Linked DNA regions of Sus scrofa. The protein of the gene in region 3 binds, or shares a complex with, the protein of the main gene of each other region. Links are inferred from orthologs where the notes say so. Each region holds a gene or a part of one and is shown on either strand. Other genes may lie near its edges.

Evidence for each region.
Region 1: the proteins of RHOA (region 3) and RAP1GDS1 are in contact, whole or in part, in a crystal structure (PDB 5ZHX), measured with the Homo sapiens proteins. The link is inferred for Sus scrofa from reciprocal best matches to the Homo sapiens genes RHOA and RAP1GDS1. Residues at the interface, in NP_001300870.1 of Homo sapiens: Ala3, Ile4, Arg5, Lys6, Asp13, Lys18, Lys51, Asp65, Tyr66, Asp67, Arg68, Leu69, Arg70, Pro71, Leu72, Ser73, Tyr74, Lys98, Trp99, Pro101, Glu102, His105, Phe106, Leu179, Cys190, Leu191; in NP_001093897.1 of Homo sapiens: Arg111, Tyr118, His121, Ser171, Glu200, Met201, Val204, Asn208, Glu211, Leu212, Glu213, Ala249, Glu253, Lys290, Thr291, Asp294, Leu295, Val297, Leu298, Leu301, Asp303, Leu334, Leu338, Ala341, Asn342, Ala344, Arg345, Asn346, Asp347, Cys350.
Region 2: the proteins of RHOA (region 3) and ARHGEF12 are in contact, whole or in part, in a crystal structure (PDB 1X86), measured with the Homo sapiens proteins. The link is inferred for Sus scrofa from reciprocal best matches to the Homo sapiens genes RHOA and ARHGEF12. Residues at the interface, in NP_001300870.1 of Homo sapiens: Arg5, Lys7, Thr19, Lys27, Val33, Tyr34, Pro36, Thr37, Val38, Phe39, Glu40, Asn41, Val43, Asp45, Glu54, Trp58, Asp59, Ala61, Gly62, Gln63, Tyr66, Asp67, Arg68, Leu69, Leu72, Ser73, Asp76, Glu97; in NP_056128.1 of Homo sapiens: Pro766, Asn768, Gln770, Glu790, Val791, Glu794, Thr798, Ala801, Cys888, Gln891, Pro892, Lys899, Arg922, Arg923, Leu924, Gln925, Lys927, Asp928, Pro931, Thr932, Met934, Gln935, Thr938, Lys939, Leu942, Leu943, Asn946, Arg968, Leu971, Asn972.

What each region holds. Positions count from the first base shown.
Region 1 is NC_010450.4:122,003,311-122,009,657, reverse strand, and holds the start of RAP1GDS1 (rap1 GTPase-GDP dissociation stimulator 1), read left to right. Parts: upstream 1-2,248; 5' UTR 2,249-2,471; coding exon 2,472-2,475; intron 2,476-6,347. UniProt on the Homo sapiens protein: Acts as a GEF (guanine nucleotide exchange factor) for the Rho family of small GTP-binding proteins (G proteins) that stimulates the dissociation of GDP to enable subsequent binding of GTP.
Region 2 is NC_010451.4:47,473,837-47,480,334, reverse strand, and holds the start of ARHGEF12 (rho guanine nucleotide exchange factor 12), read right to left. Parts: upstream 4,205-6,498; 5' UTR 3,515-4,204; coding exon 3,483-3,514; intron 1-3,482. UniProt on the Homo sapiens protein: May play a role in the regulation of RhoA GTPase by guanine nucleotide-binding alpha-12 (GNA12) and alpha-13 (GNA13). Acts as guanine nucleotide exchange factor (GEF) for RhoA GTPase and may act as GTPase-activating protein (GAP) for GNA12 and GNA13.
Region 3 is NC_010455.5:31,920,408-31,926,290, reverse strand, and holds part of RHOA (transforming protein RhoA), read left to right. Parts: intron 1-2,459; coding exon 2,460-2,580; intron 2,581-5,029; coding exon 5,030-5,160; intron 5,161-5,883. UniProt on the Homo sapiens protein: Small GTPase which cycles between an active GTP-bound and an inactive GDP-bound state.

The DNA.
Region 1 (6,347 bases), on a different chromosome or scaffold from region 3:
CTCACCATGGTTACACAGCAGTGCATTGGGACTCACTGTATGCAATATGCCCAGACAGCCTTCTAGTTTTAATCCGTAAGGGTGCTGAGGGGACAGCTTGTGGATTCAAGCAGAACAAAAAGGCACTTACAGTGTCAGGTGGGAGGTTATAAAACCTCAGCAGCCACTTTCGCTAGTTTCAATTCATGCATCCCAACAAAAGAAGATGCTCCTGGAAATTACTGTAATATAGGACTACAAAAGGAAGTAGCAGGAAAAGCATAGCAAGTGAACCTGAGAATCTGGAAGATTAATTAGGTTAAGGAAAGGGAGAGGGACAAAAAAATGAAGAGCAGCGATACAAAGACCCCAGGGTGGTTTCTGGAGAGGTCCAAAATGAATGTGGAACATGGTAGGGTAGGGGTATGTGTTGGTGTGTATGGACTGAATCATGTTCCCTGCAAATGTATATGCTGAAGTCCTAACATATCTCAGAATGTGACCTTATTTGGGAACAGGGTCACGGCAGATATAAAGATGAGGTCATACTGGAAGAGTTGGGCCCCTAATCAAAAATGACTGGTGTGCTCATAAAAAAGAAAAATGTCAACAGACATGCCACGTGAAGGCTGGAATTATGCTCCCATACGCCAAGGACCTACCAGAGCTGGAGAAGACCTGGAATAAATCCTCCCTTAGTGCCTCTACTTGGTAGTGTAGTAGAAGAGTCAAGAGTCTGATTTGATTGTCTTGGGCATCAGAACAGTCTAATAACTTTGACATCTATAGTTACATTGTATTTTCTTGTTTTTCCAAACCTCTCCTCCTTTTTGTTTCATTTTTGTTTTAGAAAATCTGCCCTGCTCAACAAATTACAAGGCCTATTTTGACTTGTGTGCTTTGTAGTATCAGTCATATAAATGGAAACGGATCTGACTGTAAGAGGGCCGCTGATGAAGGGCAGGGAGCACCTTTTCTCAACATTGGGCTGAAAGAGTAAAAGTTGAAAAAGAGAAATTTCCATTTAGCTATTCAGCATCTCCCTCCTACAGGCTGTGCTACTGCCTGCGCCCTTTCCCCGCCTAGACCGTAGTTGCTGCCGCCTGGGGAGACCGACCTGACTCCTCACCCCAACCACCGAGAGTCGGGGCGCGACCAGAGTGCAGGGAACGGGAAGGTTTCCCCCAGCCTCCTCCCGCAGGGCGGAGGACGCAAGACCAGCCTCTGTCTCGCGCGCATGCCCAGTTGGGAGGGTGCCCTCAAAAGGGAGCGCCCAGCTCAGGTTGTCCCCGCCGCTGGGGAGGTGCGGGGAGCAGGCGCTGGCCCCGTGGTCCAAGGAAACTCCGGCGTTCGACCCGATGGGGCCGCAGCCAACTGGGCGGACTTTTGGTTTCCTGCCTTGGCAACCTGTTCCCGCCGCGTTTAAAGGGAGCGGGGCAAAGATGGGCACATCCGAGGAGGGTGGCGCCCGACGGCCAGGGCACCCTTGTGACATGGCTTTTCGGGTGTCCTCCGGGGAAAGGAAGGCCGCGCTCCCCTAGGAAGGAGAACGATACGCTCCGAAGAAATCCCGGGGCGGTCACTCCTCTCGCTGCCGGGAACCTCTTTTAAACTGGCCGCAGCCAGGACAGACTTAACTGTCCCACTGATGTGCCCGCTAATGTTAAGCGCCCTTCCCGCGGCCACCTCCCTTCTCTGTGCCCAGCGGGCCCACACGGCTGCTCTGAAAACAAGCGTCCTCAGATATCTGTCTCCAGAGGCGCTGGCCTCATCGCCAGCATGTCCATGCCGGCCCCGTTTCAGGACGACTGCCTTGCTTCCCGACCACCCTCCCGGGTCTGAGGCGGCCCAGGGTCTCCTCCTTCGGGAAATTCCCGCCTGTGCACCCGGCCTGTCGGGTAATGAAGACTGGCCCGTTTTCCGGGTGTGGGTTGGCCAGGTCGGGGTAGCGACCTGGAAGGTAATAGTTCGGGCACAGCGTCCCGGTACCCAGCCTGCCCAGGGCCTACCCTCCGCCCCTCCGGCGGCAGCCATCAAGCTCCTCCGCGGCGGCTGCAGCCGGCCCGCAAACACACGCCCACCCGCACGCTCAGATTGACTTGCCCCGGGGGGAAAAAAAAGGGAGGCACTGAGCATGCTCGGCGGGGAGGGCGGGGCGCTCCCGGAGTGCGCGTCGGGGCGGGCGCTCCTCCGGCCGGCTCGGCGCCTCCGCCGCCTGCCCGCTCCGAGCTGCGCCCGCCGCAGGCTGCGCCCGCCCCGCCCTACCCCGCCCCGCCCCCCGCCGCTCGTCCCCGCCGCGGCCGCGCTGCCTGCAGCAGCAGCAGCAGCGGCAGCAGCAGCGGCAGCACCAGCTGCTCCTCCCCGGCGGCCGCCCCCCGCGGGTCCCTCCCTGGTTGCGGGAGAGACAGAGGTAGAGGGAGGACACAGCGCCGCGCCGCCCGCACCGGAGACCTTCGCCTCGACCTGCCGGCTCCTCACCCTCTGGGAGGAACATGGGTAAGTCATCCTTCCTCCCCCGTCATCGCCTGACATATTTCTCTTTCTCGGCGTGGTGCAGGGTGGGAAGCATTTCTCGCGCAAAGTTGCCGGATTTCTCCAGTCCACCGGGGTGAGGCAGTGGCTGTTTCTCCGGGGAGAGTCGGCGCACGCGGAACGCACGCCGGGTCCCAGGGCTGGGAGGGTCCAGAGTGCGGGGTGGGGTCGGGCCGCGGGGCCGGACCGCCGCCCGGCTCTCGGGCACCTCGCTGCCTCGCCTCCCCTCCTCCATTCTTCCTGCCCGAGCCGGTGCCCGGGCACCACGGAGCCTGCCCCGCGGGCTCGCATCCGCTGCCCCATCCCGGTTTCTTCAGAGGCCGCCGGCTTCCTTCCCCTCGCGGCTGCTGGGCTGGAGACTCGGGTCCGACCGCTAGAAAGACCACTTCACGTAACTTCCCTGTCTGGGCGACCTTTCCCCATCTTGGGGACTGCTCATCCCGAGGCGGGGAAGTGGGAGCAAGTAGTTTGTGGGGGTGATTTTACAACCTGCACGGAAATTATTTTCGGTGGGGGAGAGCGGACAGTCTCATAGGTTGAAAGGATGACTTGTCAGAGGCCACGAGGAACGTGAGGCAGGATGGATAGAGCCGCTAGCTGTTGAATTCGTGTTGGGTGACTACAGTGTGCACTATTCCGGTGTTCAACGCATTTTCTTGGCTCCTTCGCCTGTCTCCTGTAGCACGAAACTGCACCCTGCCTGTCTGTAACATGGTACCGAACTTACATACTAGTAATGCTTTCCCAGCTTCCCTTGTCGGAATCTATATAATGCGATTTTAGTTCCTTCGTGTTTGTGATTAATCTTAAGAGTTTGGGATGAGATATTTAAGAGTTGGGATGAGATGTTTTACAAAGCTACATATAATTAATCCTACTTTTTCATAATATGTTGCTTCATTGTTAAGTTCAGTAATTGCAAAAACGTCTGGTGGCTACGGTAATGTGATTAAAAGACGAAACATTTTTAAAAATTGTAGCGGTTTGGAATGCCATGCTTCTGCCTGTTCCCCAGTTTGCTTCCATTCCTGTCATAGTTTCTTTCTTCTTTTTAAAATTTGCTCCTTTGGCACCTGTCAACTCAGACTTTCCCCACCCCTTCCTTGCAAGTTATTTTAAGCTTGAGATGAGTGTGGACCTTTTATCTGTCAGTCTGGTGCCCAACACGTCCAGAGTTAGGTCATGGCAACTCAAAATCTTCAAGGAAATATCTAAATCTAGAAATGGTGTCTATGGAGCTCACTCGAAGAGCAAATGCTCCAAGCTCTGATTCAGACCTTTGGCGGAAGAGGTCATTTTTGCAAGAGGAGGTATAAATCTAGGACACTGAATTTTGTTTTCTGTTGTTCAGTTTTTTCCTTTTTAATGTGCTGTAGGTATGCTGAACATATTTCTGTAAAAGTTTGGTGGCCCATTTATTATTTATATAAATTTCTCTGGGAGTAGAATTTTAAATAAATATCAGTTCAGATTATTGGATACCTTGTGTCTTTCCTTTGAACATTGCAAAGGTTTTCTACTTAATTACAGGCCACAAGTAAAATAATTAACCCGAAAATCTTTGCTTGATTTCAAAGAGAGTCCAAATAGAAATCCATCTCTCATTTGAAGCTTCTCAGATACTCGGATTAAATCACCCTCTCTCCTCATACCATTCTGTTTGTACCTTGTTGGAAGCTTTTTAGACCTTACATAATCTGCTTTATAACAGAGTTGTTTATGTGTTTGTATTGTGCATTTAATCATGCATTCTAGAAGGTGAAAATTACGTCGTTTTAATTTCAGGGTCCTCCACAGTGCTTTCTACATAGTAGGTATTCAGTAAATCTTTGGTAAATTAATTATTGAACTGGAAACCTATCTATTATTTTCAACTGGGGAACCTGAAAGTCTGGGCCCTGAACAGACATTTGGGTTGATAGATTTTGTGCAGGTGGTGGAGGTGTGGAGGAACTGGGTACAGAGAAGTATAATTATACTGTGACTGCTCTTCTCTTTCTCTCAAAAAAAAAAAAAAAAAGTTGTGTCGTCTCAGATGTGTGGGTTTTGGAACAGCCACTAGGCAAGCTATTTCTTCCTACACTGCTCTTTTCAATGGTAAGGTGGTTTTGTTTACCATCAGTAGACATATACAATAATGTAAAATTGAAACATTGAAAGACAATATTATATTCTAAGCCAAGGAAGTTATTATAGCAATTCCTATATACATAAGGGTATACTGATAAGCGATAGGGGTCAAAAAAATCGCTAATGTCATTTTCATAAGTAAATATGGTGATTTTTAAAGAAGATATTGTTATGGCAGTGATTTTTCTCCAGAAGAAAGTGAAGGAAACTTCCAATGTAACCTTATGGACCATGTCTATTATTTTTATGTATACATTTATATATATATATACTTAAAATTCAGTGTGTACTTAATATTTCTTGTATACCTACCGTGGGAGGAGAAAGATCAAGAAGACATTCGTTTTTCAGGTTGCTTACAATCTTAACAGGAATGATACATACACAGATAACATTAATAGAAATAAAGTATGAGTGGCACGGAAGACCTTTACGTATCATATAGATTCAGAGGATGGAGAGAAGTTTTTAGAAAAATAATGTTATCTGAGCAAAGGTTGGTTAAGCTTCTGAAAGGTAGAAATGAACGGAGACTGTTCATCAGGATGACGGTGGAGGGAGAGAAATGACATGAAAATATAGAGATAGGAATTTTCATGTTTTTTCAGGGTATGATTAAATAACCATGTTTGGCTGGATCAAAAGGTAGGGAAAGAGTGGATGACAGAGATGAAAAAGTGTTAATAGATAAAGAACAGATAATGGAGGACTTTGAATGCCACGCCGAAGAAGTTTGGGGGCTTGACTTGTCAACTGAGGGACTAGTAAACATTTTTATGTAGTTAAGTGATGGAGCACATCTGTGGTTTAGGAAAATCAATTTGTCAATTGAGTGCAGGATGGATTGAATGAAAAACTAGAGAATACTTCAGAAGGCAGTTGCAGTTTGGGTAGAAATGTACACCGGCCTAAACCAGGCTATGGCAGTGAGAATAGAATATTGTAAATAAAGAACAAGATTTACATATGGAATCAGGAAAGGAGTCATACACTACTGTCTGGGCAATAATGAGAATGTGGGATCTGTTAAATATGTATTTAATCCATTGGAAGAGGAAAGATGAAGAGTCAGTTTTGGACCTGGGGAGTTGGACTGTTCGCCTTTTCGATTCTCTGCCTCTTGATGACATTAGGTTATATATTCATATTGTTTTTTAATTTAATTTTTTATAGTTGATTTACAACGTTGTGCCACAAATTACATTTTGAATACATTTGTAACACTAGTGTCTAGCACACAGGAGCTGTGCCCTAAAACATTTTTGACTGACCAAACCAGGTTAAAAATATTTAACAGTTCTTTTAACTCTCAAGAGAAGGTTTGAGCTAGACGTCTGGATGTTTATCTCCCCATATCCTGAGATGATATTTGAAGTTAAGTAGGGAAATGAAAATCAACAAAGAAAAAGAAGAATATTTGACCAAGGTAAGAATCTTGAGGAATGCCCCATTGTTTGGGAAAAGGGAAAAAAAAAAATGATTTGACACTGAAAAAGATAGTAGGTAAGCGAGAAAGACTAGAATTGGCATGTATTTGGTTTCCAGAGTGAATGGTCAATACTGTCTGTTGCAGGATTGTTTCTCAGAACAAAGTAATTAGGACTGAGAGAAGGCTCCAAATTGATGTGGTTCATTAAGGATATTACTTAGTGTATTTTCTAAAAAGCAGCTTTATGAGGCAGGATAGATATGGAGGTCAGCTGTCA
Region 2 (6,498 bases), on a different chromosome or scaffold from region 3:
CATCCTGATCCCCACTTTCAATTTGGAATTTATCAAATAATTGATTTTACAAGTGAATGTTACAAAGAATTTCACCTTGCAGGTGACTGGGCAGCCTTGAAAACAGCACACATACAGAATTTTTCGTTGTTTTTTTTTTAATCAAAAAACATTATTACATGGCAGTGTTGGCAGAAAAGGTATCATGAATGAAAATGCATAAAAAGACACAGGTTTCCACACTCACTTTAAAAACTTGCTTCAGTTAAACAAGCTTTATGAACTCATAATGCTAAAAGAAAAAAGCCAATATATCAAAAACCTTTGTTATCTATAAATCAAAAACAAGAAAATCCACAAGTCCTAGTCAAGACAAAGGTTCATTTATTTCAACAAAGACCTTTATAACAATATCTTACCTATACTGTCACTGAAAATTCACTGTTCTAGAAGATAGCCTGAAATAATTTACTGAGTCCATAATTTACTGAGTCTAATGTATTCTTTCCTCTCTATCTCGCAGAAGAAATTCCAATTACCACAAGACCCCTAAACTCTCAGGGAGAGAAACAAGCGTCTAGGAGGATTAGAAACAATTAGGTATATTTTAGGACTTAAAGCAGCAGTAAGTGTAAACTGAAGAGCAGCAGTAAGATATTTCTATCCCTTTCAATTGCCAGTTCTAAAAGCTGAAAAATGCAGTCTCCAGACCTCATAGAAGTAACAAAGCAAGACACTGGATGGTATTCACAAGCTGCTCGGATTTAAAAAAAAAAAAAAAAAGTCCAGATATACCACATAAGAACAGTAGCTATCATGAACACATAGTTTGAGTTCTAAAATGATGAATGATTACACCCTTAAAAAGGGGGCTGGGAGGACCTGGGGAGTAGAGGATAAGGGGGGGTAAGGGAGTAAATAAATGTGTTAATTTAACTGCAAAATAATAACAGGATATAACAGAGTTCTGAGTATCCAAAGTGACCAATCAGAGCCTAAACAGAGCTGAATTCCATCCCAGCCCCAGCACGTCCCTAACACAAGAATAAAACCCTTCTTATCTTGTTCAGCCATGTGTCGCCTGCCACAAACTGCAAAACAGAACAACGCCCAAAACCAGCTAGTCTGATTTCAACTGGGGACAGACAGACTCTGTAGTCAGAAGCACCACAATGAAAGAACTCTAACTCACACAGCTGGCCTGGTGGGTCTGCACACTCTACAAAACAAAGCCATACCACATACAGTACTTCAAACTTGAAAGGATCTTTAAAAAGCTACAAAGGCGCTGTTAATTTGCCAAAGGCTCTAGAATCAGCAAAACATACCTACAGTACACTGGAGTTAAGACAGTGAGAAAACAAAATGAGGTGGGTAAGGAACTATTCTATACTCATAACTTTATCAGGCTTCCTACACAGAAATAATACTGAACCAGTACTTTCAGATTTCACCCCAACATATATCCAAATCGGGGACAACTACTCTCCTAAGAGCCAACAGAGGAGTGATATTTACAGAATAAGATATATTTAAAGAAAAAGTAATGCTCCCATATGAACAATTCTTATGAAAAAAAACAAAACAAAACCCCAAACTAGTAGTAAATTCCAAAGAAACACGAATACATACTGTCTCAGAAATACATATTAAGTGGTGTTTAAAGTTTCCTCTCTGAAAATATGTACAATCAAGCAGCACTTGAACTAATTCAAGGATATTAATACCCAAACCAATTTGCAGATTCATCTTATACTTGGAATACTCATCTCTTAATCCTTTGTGCCCAGCACAGCACCTGGCAAAGAACATGCATTAACTGCATGCTTATTGTATATTTATATCTCATCTAAGTTATAGAAAGGATAAAAACCCCAAGACCTTATTTCTAAGATAACGAAAGAGGAAGAAAATTGGAGAAATAAAGATGAAGAAAGGTCATTACTTGGGTGCTTTTAGGAGATTTTCACATAGAATGAATTGGTGACCGTAGGTTCTGTTTCTACAAAATTAAACGCTCCTACTACTGCAATGAAAACTAGTAGGACTACATTAGTACCTAATAAGACTTTTCTACAGGTTCAACAGAGAAAGCAAGAATTGAATGAACCAGAAAAACAATTACCCACACACCCAAGAAAATGATTTCTCAGAGGCAAAATAACCTGAGAGGAAAAGGAATGGGAATAACTTGAGGATATCAAAATAAGCATTGTTGCTATTCATGTTAAGTGTACTCTCAGAGAAGGTGAAAATTAAAATGCATTAAAAAAAACTCAAAAAATAGTTTAAACATTTAATGGACTCTTTTAAGTGAACATTCACGTGATACCGGAAAGCATCAACAGGAAGAGGAAATTCTGTTTTTGGAGTATCTGTTATGGTATGATAATGGAATTTGGCCCTTTTAAAATCAACAAATGAGTCTTACAATTGGGTAAAACTCTCTTATTATGAAATTAAACTACCTTTTGAGCACCACTAATGTTGTATTCATCAAAGTGCTTTCTTTAGCCCCTTACTTCATTTATTTTTTAGTTTGAAGGTTGACCCCCCTCCCCAGAAAAAAAAAAAAAAAAAAAGCTGACTGAAAACTTGGGACCTGGATAATTATGGCAATGTCATCATTAAACTGAAAAACAAAATATAGTAAAAGAATATACTTTTATCGTTAAACCTAATATTCCAAATAACTAAAGAGTAAGGGAACTCCACTTAAACCACAAATAGTCTAGTTCAATTCACCAACCACCACCAAGTAACCTAGGTACATACTACAAAGGACGCACCCAACTCAGCAAATCACCTGCCAGCCTTACTACATAATTCGCTTAAGCTTTATACTCCTTAAATGCAAATGTTTCTGGAAGATGAAATACTAAAAATGCAATAATTAAAATCTAGCCCCATGGTTCCTTGATAACTGCCCCTACCAGGTACTTAGGATTTACTAGTAATTCCAATATTCTGGAAAATTATTAAGATGATCAACACCGTGCAAGTCAATAGGTAAAGGATATCAAACTCATAAATCACGCGGCAGCTTCACAATGTTCACAAAAAAAAATTCCTAAACTGAAGCAGTGTCTATAGGACTACACGAGAGAAGTACAAGCGATGATGCACCAATACCCCAGCCGACTTCGGGCGCTGACCTTCACCCAAAATGACCTCCCTCTGGTCCCAAGATCCGTACAGAATCCTAATGCAAACTACCGACAGAAAAACACAATCATGGCTTTACCTACCCCTCCTCCGAGAATCTGGAGAAAAGTTTCTCTCCAGAAAAAAACAAACAAAACAAAACAAAACAACCCTACATTTCTAAATTCAATCAACCGGGGAACTTGGCAGCAACCCCAGGCTAATTGCAGAGCTCCGAAACAACCCTCTGTGCGATGCCTGTCAACTTCACTGGGCAAAGGCACTCGACAATCACTGACTCTCCTGCTAGGTCGGGCCCCAACCAGGGAGGCTAAGCGCAGGGTGAGCTTCATACCAACCTGTCGGTGATAGTAGACTGTGTGCCACTCATTGGGGCCCTTGGCGAGAGGTCCTCCTTTTATCCAACTTGCATTTTACAGTAACACCTCCACCCCACCCCCGGCGCTCTGGGATCAGGCCCGACTCCGTAAGGGACACAAGAGTCCAACTCAAAACTCCATTCAGGCATCTAGAACGTCCGACTGGAAGGGGTCAAGGAAAGGGGATGGAGATGGGAGCGAGGCAAGTTATCTCCCAAAATAAACCGATCAAGTCCGCCAGAAGGCGAGTCCTAGAGCTAGAGAGCGATCCTCGGGAAGTCACAGGAGAAAACTTCGTCACGGAGAGAAGTCGGCGAGCCTTGGGGAAGGGGGCCCGGGAGTCACTCCCGGGCCGGGGCAGGAGCGGCTCGGGGCTGGGTGTCGGTTCCTCCTCCGCGGTCTCGGGGGCTTGCAAGTCCCCGCCTCCAGGCCCGGCCCGCTGGGCTCCGCTCTCTATCTGGGGCTGCCGGCCGCTCGTGGCCACAGTCTCGGCCGCGTCTCGGGCCGCCCCGCGCCAGGCGCGCGCGGCTCCATGGCCCCGGGCCGGGGAACCCCTCTCGTCCTCGTCGCCGCCCCCACCAGGCTCCGGGCCCCGGGACGAGTGCGGGAGCCGGGGGAGGGGATCCCGCAGCCGGAGGTGACAGGAACCTGATTTCTCAGCGCCGCGGGCTGCTACCCATCCCTCGGAGGCCCCGACTCTTCCGCGGTCAGCACAGGCGGCGGCAGCAGCGGCTCCTCCCCGACGCGCCGGTAGGCGGCGGTTCCCGCGAGGGGCGGAGGTTCCCGTCCGGCCCGGCCTGGAAGTACCGGCTCCGGAGGCCGGCGGCGGCGACGGCGGCGACTCGGAGCGCAGAGCCGGCTCGCCGGGTTGTGGGGCCCTCACGGGGGCGCGCGCGGCGGGTGGAGGAGGCCGCCGATGGTGGGGGGCCGCCCGACAGCCGCGGGCGCGCGCACGGGTTCCGGTTCCGGTTCTGTCTTCCCGGCCCCGGCAGCGTCCAGCGCGAGCGAGCTCACTCTTCCCCTCCCCCGCCGACTTTTTTGGCCTCCTCCCCTCTGACTTCGGGAAGCCGCCTCACCCGGGATCCCTCCGCGGTGCGCGGGGCCGCCCGCGCCGCCCCCGCTTGCCGACCGCGGTTGCGCGTCAACCCGCGCGGACGCCTCCGCCAGCGTCTTGTTGGGGGGAACGAAAAAGTAGTTCGGCGGAGCGGAGGGAGGTGGGGACGGTCTGGTCCCGGGACTCCCACTCGCCAACCCACTGCCGTCCCCAGGAACGCGCGAGTGCCGGATATCTGTACTTCGTAGTCTAGTTTTCGCCAGGGACCGCCAAAGAGCACGTCCCTAATCCAGAGGAATTGAGAAGAAGCTCTTTAGAAATTACCCACCCTCTCGTCCTGGAAACTTGTAGTCTTTAAAGGGAGCATACTTGTTCTTTTTTTCGGAGAACCCTATAGACTGCTTTGGGCCGATGGAAGCGAACTCGTGTCCGGATGCACGGACACCGTTCCATCGTTTGTGAAACAAACCCCAGCACAGAGAAGTTTTGGCCTTGGGCGCTCACCTGGGGCACCTGCTGGCCTCCTCCCAGGATAGGGACCGCCGCGCACAAGTCTTGGCTGCCCACGGAGGGTTGGAGGACGAAAGTGTATGGGACTGGAGAGACGACAGAGTTTGGGAACTGGAGCCAGGATTTCTTCGTATAGTGTTGCTTTTAGGCTGCTGCTCCTGCCTTGGCAAAATGAAATGTTATTATTTGCCAAATTGAGCAAGCATGGTGCTTTCCACAGCGACTTAACAAGCTTGTTGTGGAAAGAAATGGGAGCAAAAAACAAAGTATATTTATCCAGTAAATAGCTTTACAGTTCTCTTTGAAGAGTTCCCAAATATTTTTATTTTTTTCCCCAGCTGGGTAGATAAACTTAGATATCCATCTACTTTATGATTGCATAATTTGGGATTGTAGCAATTCAAGTACCATGTACAATATATTTCTTCAATTCGGCCTGTAAACATTTGAAGTGGCTGTCTCTTTATCCATCTGTTTTCAGCTTTGAGTTCAAAGCTGTATTGTTGCGTCAAGGTCTTCAACCTTTTTTGTGGAAATCAAGTGCCAAAGCACATCTAATAAACAGTGGATGTGGAGAGGGGAAAGAATTACCTCTTAAAAACGCTGTTGCTAAAAGTCAATCCAAAAGAGTGCATGAAAGGATCATTATCCCTGAATAGATGCATGAGCTAAGGCTGACGTTAGAACCGGGTTAAAAAAAAAAAAAAGGAAAAGAAAACGATAAACAGAGGCCAAAGATGACTCTTTACTGTTTTGTTTTTAAGTTCAGGGCACAGCCAGCTAATTTTGTAATGTTTATTTTGGGAAAGAATAGAAGCAGATTAGGGTCCCAAGCCACTTTCCTAATGATCAGACCAGGACACATTGCCACCTGCTGGTGTACCCTAACATGATAATTCTATTCTGAAAACTCTTAATTAAATTGCTTATTTTCTATATGTAATTGGAAAGGGCTCCATCAGTCTATATACAATGACCAAAATGCAAACCTTTCCCCCAAACTTTTATCTTTTTTAGACATTCTAAAAAAAGGTTTTTTTGCCCTACTCTAATCATTTTACAGTGTGGGTGTCAAATTAATTGGACCCAATGACTCATCAAATCATGCATTTTAAAAATGAGCTCCCTCTTCCCTTCAAGAATGCCTCACTACACGAGCTTCAGGGATAAAAACAAACTGGGAAAGTTTCCTAATTCACCTTCTCTTCCTTGCATACAAAACCTCTTGGCAGGCTGCTTTCATAATCTTTCCAAACTTAAACAGACCCAAAGTTCTAGCTGTGAGCAAGGAGGGCATTTGCTGTGGGAAAGCTTCAGAAGATGGTAAGCAAAGGATTTAATTAAGCCAGTGGTTATTCATTCCAGAGCTATTTTTTGTAGTGATGAAAATCTATATTCTCGGACAAAGCTCTAAGAGTAAAAATATGTCCA
Region 3 (5,883 bases):
GAAAGCCCTGAAATAAAGGTACTTGATCTGTAAGAGTATCACAGCTGAGCTATCTACCTCAGAGCAACTGGTTAGTTTCCAGGGTGTGAGAGAGTTCCAGCCTAAGAATGTTCACATAAGAGTAGAGCCTAGGAGTTCCTGTCATGGCTTAGTGCTTAACGAACCCGACTGGTATCCATGAGGACGAGAGTTCTATCACTAGCCTTGTTCAGTGGGTTAAGGATCTGGCATTGCCGTGAGCTGTGGTGTAGGCCGCAGAGGTGGCTCATATCCTGCGTTGCTGAGTTTGTGGTATAGGCCAGCAGCTGTAGCTCTAATTCAACCCCTAACCTGGGAACCTCCATATGCCATGGGTGCAGCCCTAAAAAATACATATATAAAAAAGAGTAGAGCCTAGGGAGGAGAGCTTAGAGTTCCAATGATTTTAGGTAATGATGGTCCCGGGAGTAGGTCTACCAAAAATGGATAAGACTCATTCTTTTTTTTTTTTTTTTTTTTTTTTTTTGCCTTTTTTGTCTTTTTTGCTATTTCTTTGGGCCGCTCCCGCGACATATGGAGGTTCCCAGGCTAGGGGTCGAATCGGAGCTGCAGCCCCCGGCCTACGCCAGAGCCACAGCAACGCGGGATCCGAGCCGCGTCTGCAACCTACACCACAGCTCACGGCAACGCCAGATTGTTAACCCACTGGGCAAGGGCAGGGATCGAACCCACGACCTCATGGTTCCTAGTCCGATTCGTTAACCACTGCGCCACGACAGAAACTCCGGATAAGACTCATTCTAACATGTGATAGGCCTGACACTCTGGGATCATTTATCAGGACTCAGAGTTTGCTGTTGTGTCTGTCTGAATACCTTTTGAGGTGTGGAGGGGCCAGGGGAGTGCAATTTGGCAGAGAATGAAATGACCTATACCATCCTGAGGTCAGACCAGCTATGAGGATTGGGCATCAGTAGGTCATGGATTCCCTTACCAAGCTGATGATAGAGGTGCTGTGGGACTTGTGTAAGTTGTGAGTGACATGAGGCAGAGGTTGAAGGTGGGAAAAATAACTAGCCACAACTTCAAGGGAGAAATAATATTTAGAAACTGAAATACAGGCTCCGAAAATGTTAGAGGGAGGAATTCCCATTGTGGCTCCACGATAATGAATCTGACTAGTATCCATGAGGACGTGGGTTCGATCCCTGGCCTTGCTCAGTGGGTTAAGGATCTGGTGTTGCCGTGAGCTGTAGTGTAGTTCGAAGACATGGCTCAGATCCCAAGTTCCTGTGGCTTTGGTGGAGGCCGGCAGCTACAGCTCCAGTTTGACCCCTAGCCTGGGAACTTCCATATGTCGCTAGTGAGCTCTAAAAAGCCCCCCAAAAAAAGATGTTGGGGAAGAAGGATATTCTAGGCATTGGAGGGGCAACTCCTTGAGCCCCAAAGGGCCCCTGAACAGAGGGTTGTAAAAATCTCATTGTGGTGGTAAGAAGTGACAGGGCTGGCTGCAGTGCTGAAAGGGAGCCTTATGTCCAAAGCCCAGGCATCAATTTGCCTTCCTACTGCTGGAAGGTGATCCAATTCCCAGGTATGAAAGGAGAACCTCCTACCTATGTGATGCTTTCATCCAGCCATTCATTCATTTTTTGAGCAATAATAGGCCTATCCTGTCAGCTCAGACCTTGCCTGATACCCAGGATGGTGTCTTTACTTAACCACTAACTGAAATACAATCTTATTTCCACATTGGAACAGAATGATGAGACAAAGTAAGGAAATGGTTAAGTGAGAATGTAACAGGAGTTCCCGTCGTGGCTCAGTGGTTAATGAATCTGACTAGGAACCATGAGGTTGCGGGTTCGGTCCCTGGCCTCGCTCAGTGGGTTAAGGATCCGGCGTTGCCATGAGCTGTGGTGTAGGTCGCAGACGTGGCTCGGATCCCGAGTTGCTGTGGCTCTGATGTAGGCCAGCAATTAGACCCCTAGCCTGGGACCCTCCATATGCTGCAGGAGCGGCCCTAGAAAAGGCCAAAAAAAAAAAAGAGAGAATTTAACAGGAAAAGTTACTTATTTTGATTTTTTCCTATTTTGCTTTGTATACCTGGTGGAATGTTATTTATAATTGATTTCTCTTCTTGTTCATCTGCTTTCTTTCCTATATAGAATGTTATTTATGATTAAATACTTAAAGCTACAAAGTTATTTTAGTTACTATTATTTTTTACAAAGTTATTTTTGACTGAACATTTCGAATTAGGTACTTTATTCAGTTCTATTATCTGTCTATAAAATTTGCAGTTTTGAGAAATTGTAACCTAAAACAGTGTAAATACCTCTTAGCACCTTCAGGTTTGATTCCAATCTGTATTTTACTGTTTTGAACAGTCTGTCATTTGAAGGTACTATGGTAAGTGTCACTTCTTCTGAAAGTAAGTAATGGGATTAACCTGTACTCTATGTTTATTTTTCCTATCATAGGTAGAGTTGGCTTTGTGGGACACAGCAGGACAGGAAGATTATGATCGTTTGAGGCCCCTCTCCTACCCGGATACTGATGTTATACTGATGTGTTTCTCTATTGATAGCCCTGATAGTTTAGGTGAGTAGCCCTGTAGCCTAATGTCTGTCACTGCCTGTGTACTTGGCCGACCTTTGGTTTCTCATGTCCTTTCTGGGCATTTAAATGGCTGAAAAACTGACATGAGCTTCAGAGAAGGAATCATCAGTTGCCAGGGTCCTAGAGCCTTGGGACTGTAGAGCCTGAGCCCCAAATCCCTTTTCAGCTTAGGTCTCCTGTGGCTGCCATGTTCATCTTGGAAGGTAGGTAGGTTCTAAATACAAAGCTATTTTTTAGACTAGGATTTGGGGAAGGATTTTTTGGGTGTTAAGTAGTTGATATTGAGCCTACTGCCTCCCACTGTCTGGACTGCTGATTTGTTGAATCCTCAAAGTGTTTTTGTTTTGTTTTTTAAATTTTTTTAAATTGAAGTATGGTTGATTTACAATGTAGTATTAATTTCTGCTATATAACAAAGTGATTCTGTTATATTGCATTCTTTTTTTTAAGTATTCTCTTCCATTGTGGAAGTATTATGTGCTATACAGTAGGGCCTTGTTATCCATTCTATGTATAATAGTTTGCATCTTGGTAGTGTTTTTAAAGCCGTATTTTAGCTCTTTTATAAAATGTCTCGATAAGCAGTGAGATCCTGCTGTATAGCATTGGGAATTATATCTAGTCACTTATAATGGAGCATGATGGAAGGAGAAAAAGAATGTATATATAATATGTATGTATGACTGGGTCACTTTGCTATACAGTAGAAAATTGACAGACACTGTAAACCAGCTTTAATGGAAAAATTAAAATCGTTAATAATAATAATAATAATAATAAAGTGCCTCAGCTAAGACTTGAACCTGACCATTCCAGTAGCTCAGTTGGCCCCATGTTTCAGAATGTCCTTTCATTTAGAAAAAGAATGAATGAATCTGACTTCACACTGCAAAAACAGGCACCAAGACCTGAAAGAGAACTTGCTTTTGGAGTTCCCATTGTGGCTCATCAGTAATGAATCTGACTGATATCCATGAGGATGCAGTTTCAATCCCTGGCCTTGCTAAGTGGGTTATGGATCCGGTGTTGTGAGAGAGAGAGTTCTGTGGTTCCACATTCTCAGTGACTCCTGCCTTTTGGTAATGTGTTGAGGTCAGAGAGTGAACACTTTACTCCTAAAATACAGCCTTGGAGTTCCTGCCATTGATGCAAAGGGATTGGCAGCATCTCTGGAGCACCAGGATGCAGGTTCCATCCCTGGCCTGGCACAGTGGGTTAAGGATCCACTGTTGCCACAACTGTGGTGTAGGTCACAGCTGTGGCTTGGATCTAATCCCTGGCTTGGGAACTCCATATTCCATGGGGATGCCAAAAAAAAGAAAAAATAACAATAAATGAGGCTCAGTGGACTAATATCCATGAGGTTGCGGGTTTGATCCCTGGCCTTGCTCAGTGGGTTAAGGATCTAGCGTTGCTGTGAGCTGTGGCATAGCCCGGCAGCTACAGCTCAGATTTGACCCCTAGCCTGGGAACCTCCATATGCCGAGGGAGTGGCCTTAGAAAAGGCAAAAAGACAAAAAAAAAAAAAGAAAAGGAAAAAAGAAAATTCAGTCTCAAGTTACAATCAGGACCATTTAAACTAAGTAAGATATTAGTGTTAACCTGTTTTATAGTATCTCTGACCCTGAGATGCTCAAGGTGGCAGATATGGGAAGTTCAACCCAGGCCACTTGTACACCATGGTGTACATACAACCTTTCTAAATTACTGCAGTATTGGCAAGAAGCTACAGCTGTTATCATTTATTTTGATTTATTTATTTATTTTCTTTTTTGGCCAGCCCACAGCATATGGAATTCTGGGGCCAGGGATCAGGTAGGAGCCACAGTTGCAACAATGGATCCTCCTTTAACCCACTGTGTAGGGCAGGGATTGAACCTGCATCCCAGTGCTCCAGAAGTGCTGCCAATCCTGTTGAGTCACACACAAACTCCAGCTGGTTATCATTCATTTTTTAAAGCCACTCAAATCATTTGAAATACCAGTAACCCATAGAGTAGGTCATGCCAAGAGTCCATGAGTAAGACATTGAGAAAGCATGTGGCCAGCTATAGCCCCAGAATGGGGGCTCCTTCTGCAGCCTGTTGTTAGAATTATCTGCCAACAGTGACATGAATGGCTGGTAAAGAGCTTTCTTCCTTGGGGCAGGTGGCACCATGTGGAGCCACTCTCTGTTTTGAATCCTTCACTTCTCCAGTACCTTTACCTGGGTCCCACCTCCAGAGGAACTAAACTTGATGGGACTGAGAAAAGCGGGTGATTCTGTGCTGAAGAGAAGAGGAGTTAGAGTTTGCCTTTTATGATTTTGACATTAAATGTCCATTATACTTCTCAGAAAGTTTCTTTGCAATTTACCTAGCTGGGGCTTTTGGAGATTTTTCAAGGTAGAATTATATGTATCTTCAAATTATGTGCATTTTGCACCTTTCAGAAAACATCCCAGAAAAATGGACTCCAGAAGTCAAGCATTTCTGTCCCAATGTGCCCATCATCCTGGTTGGGAACAAGAAGGATCTTCGAAATGATGAGCACACAAGGCGTGAGCTAGCTAAGATGAAGCAGGTATGGTCTGGGTCAGGGCCCTGTATTCCTGTAGCATTCTTGAACCTGGAGCCCAAGGTTGGAGGTTCAGGGAAGCCAGCAAAAACCCTTATAGGCCAAGCCGATTAAGAGAGTCCTAGAAGCCTTTTGCTGTCATCTGGCCCTCACTGGTGCCTGCACAGAGTCCCTACGACTTCTATTTGTAGAAGATGGAACCCGTCTTGTGAGGCAGTGATATACCCCCAAAAGATTGCCTGCCTAAGAAGGAACCATCAAGCAGTAGTCAGTGCTCCCAAATGTAGGGACTTTATTAGGCTCTTGATTTCCCTCTCCAGTTATTACTTTTGAAAGACAAATTAGTGAAAGGTCAGGAAATCCTGAGGGCAGGGAGTCCAAACATAGAGCCCTAATGCGTGTGTGTGTGTGTGTGTGTGTGTGTCTTTTTAGGGCTGCACCAGTGGCATATGGAGGTTTCCAGGGTAAGGGCCTAATTGGAGCTACAGCTGCTGGCCTACGCCACAGTAACTCCAGATCCCAGCCGTCTTCGAACCTACACCACAGCTTACGGCATTGCCAGATCCTTAACCCACAGAACGAGGCCAGGGATCGAACCTGCAACCTCATGGATGCTAGTCACATTTGTTTTCCGCTGAGCCATGATGGGAACTCCCCTAATGCCTTTATTAAGTGATGGTGGAGTTCCCTGTTCTTGGTGCAGCAGAAACGAATCCAGCTAGTATCCAT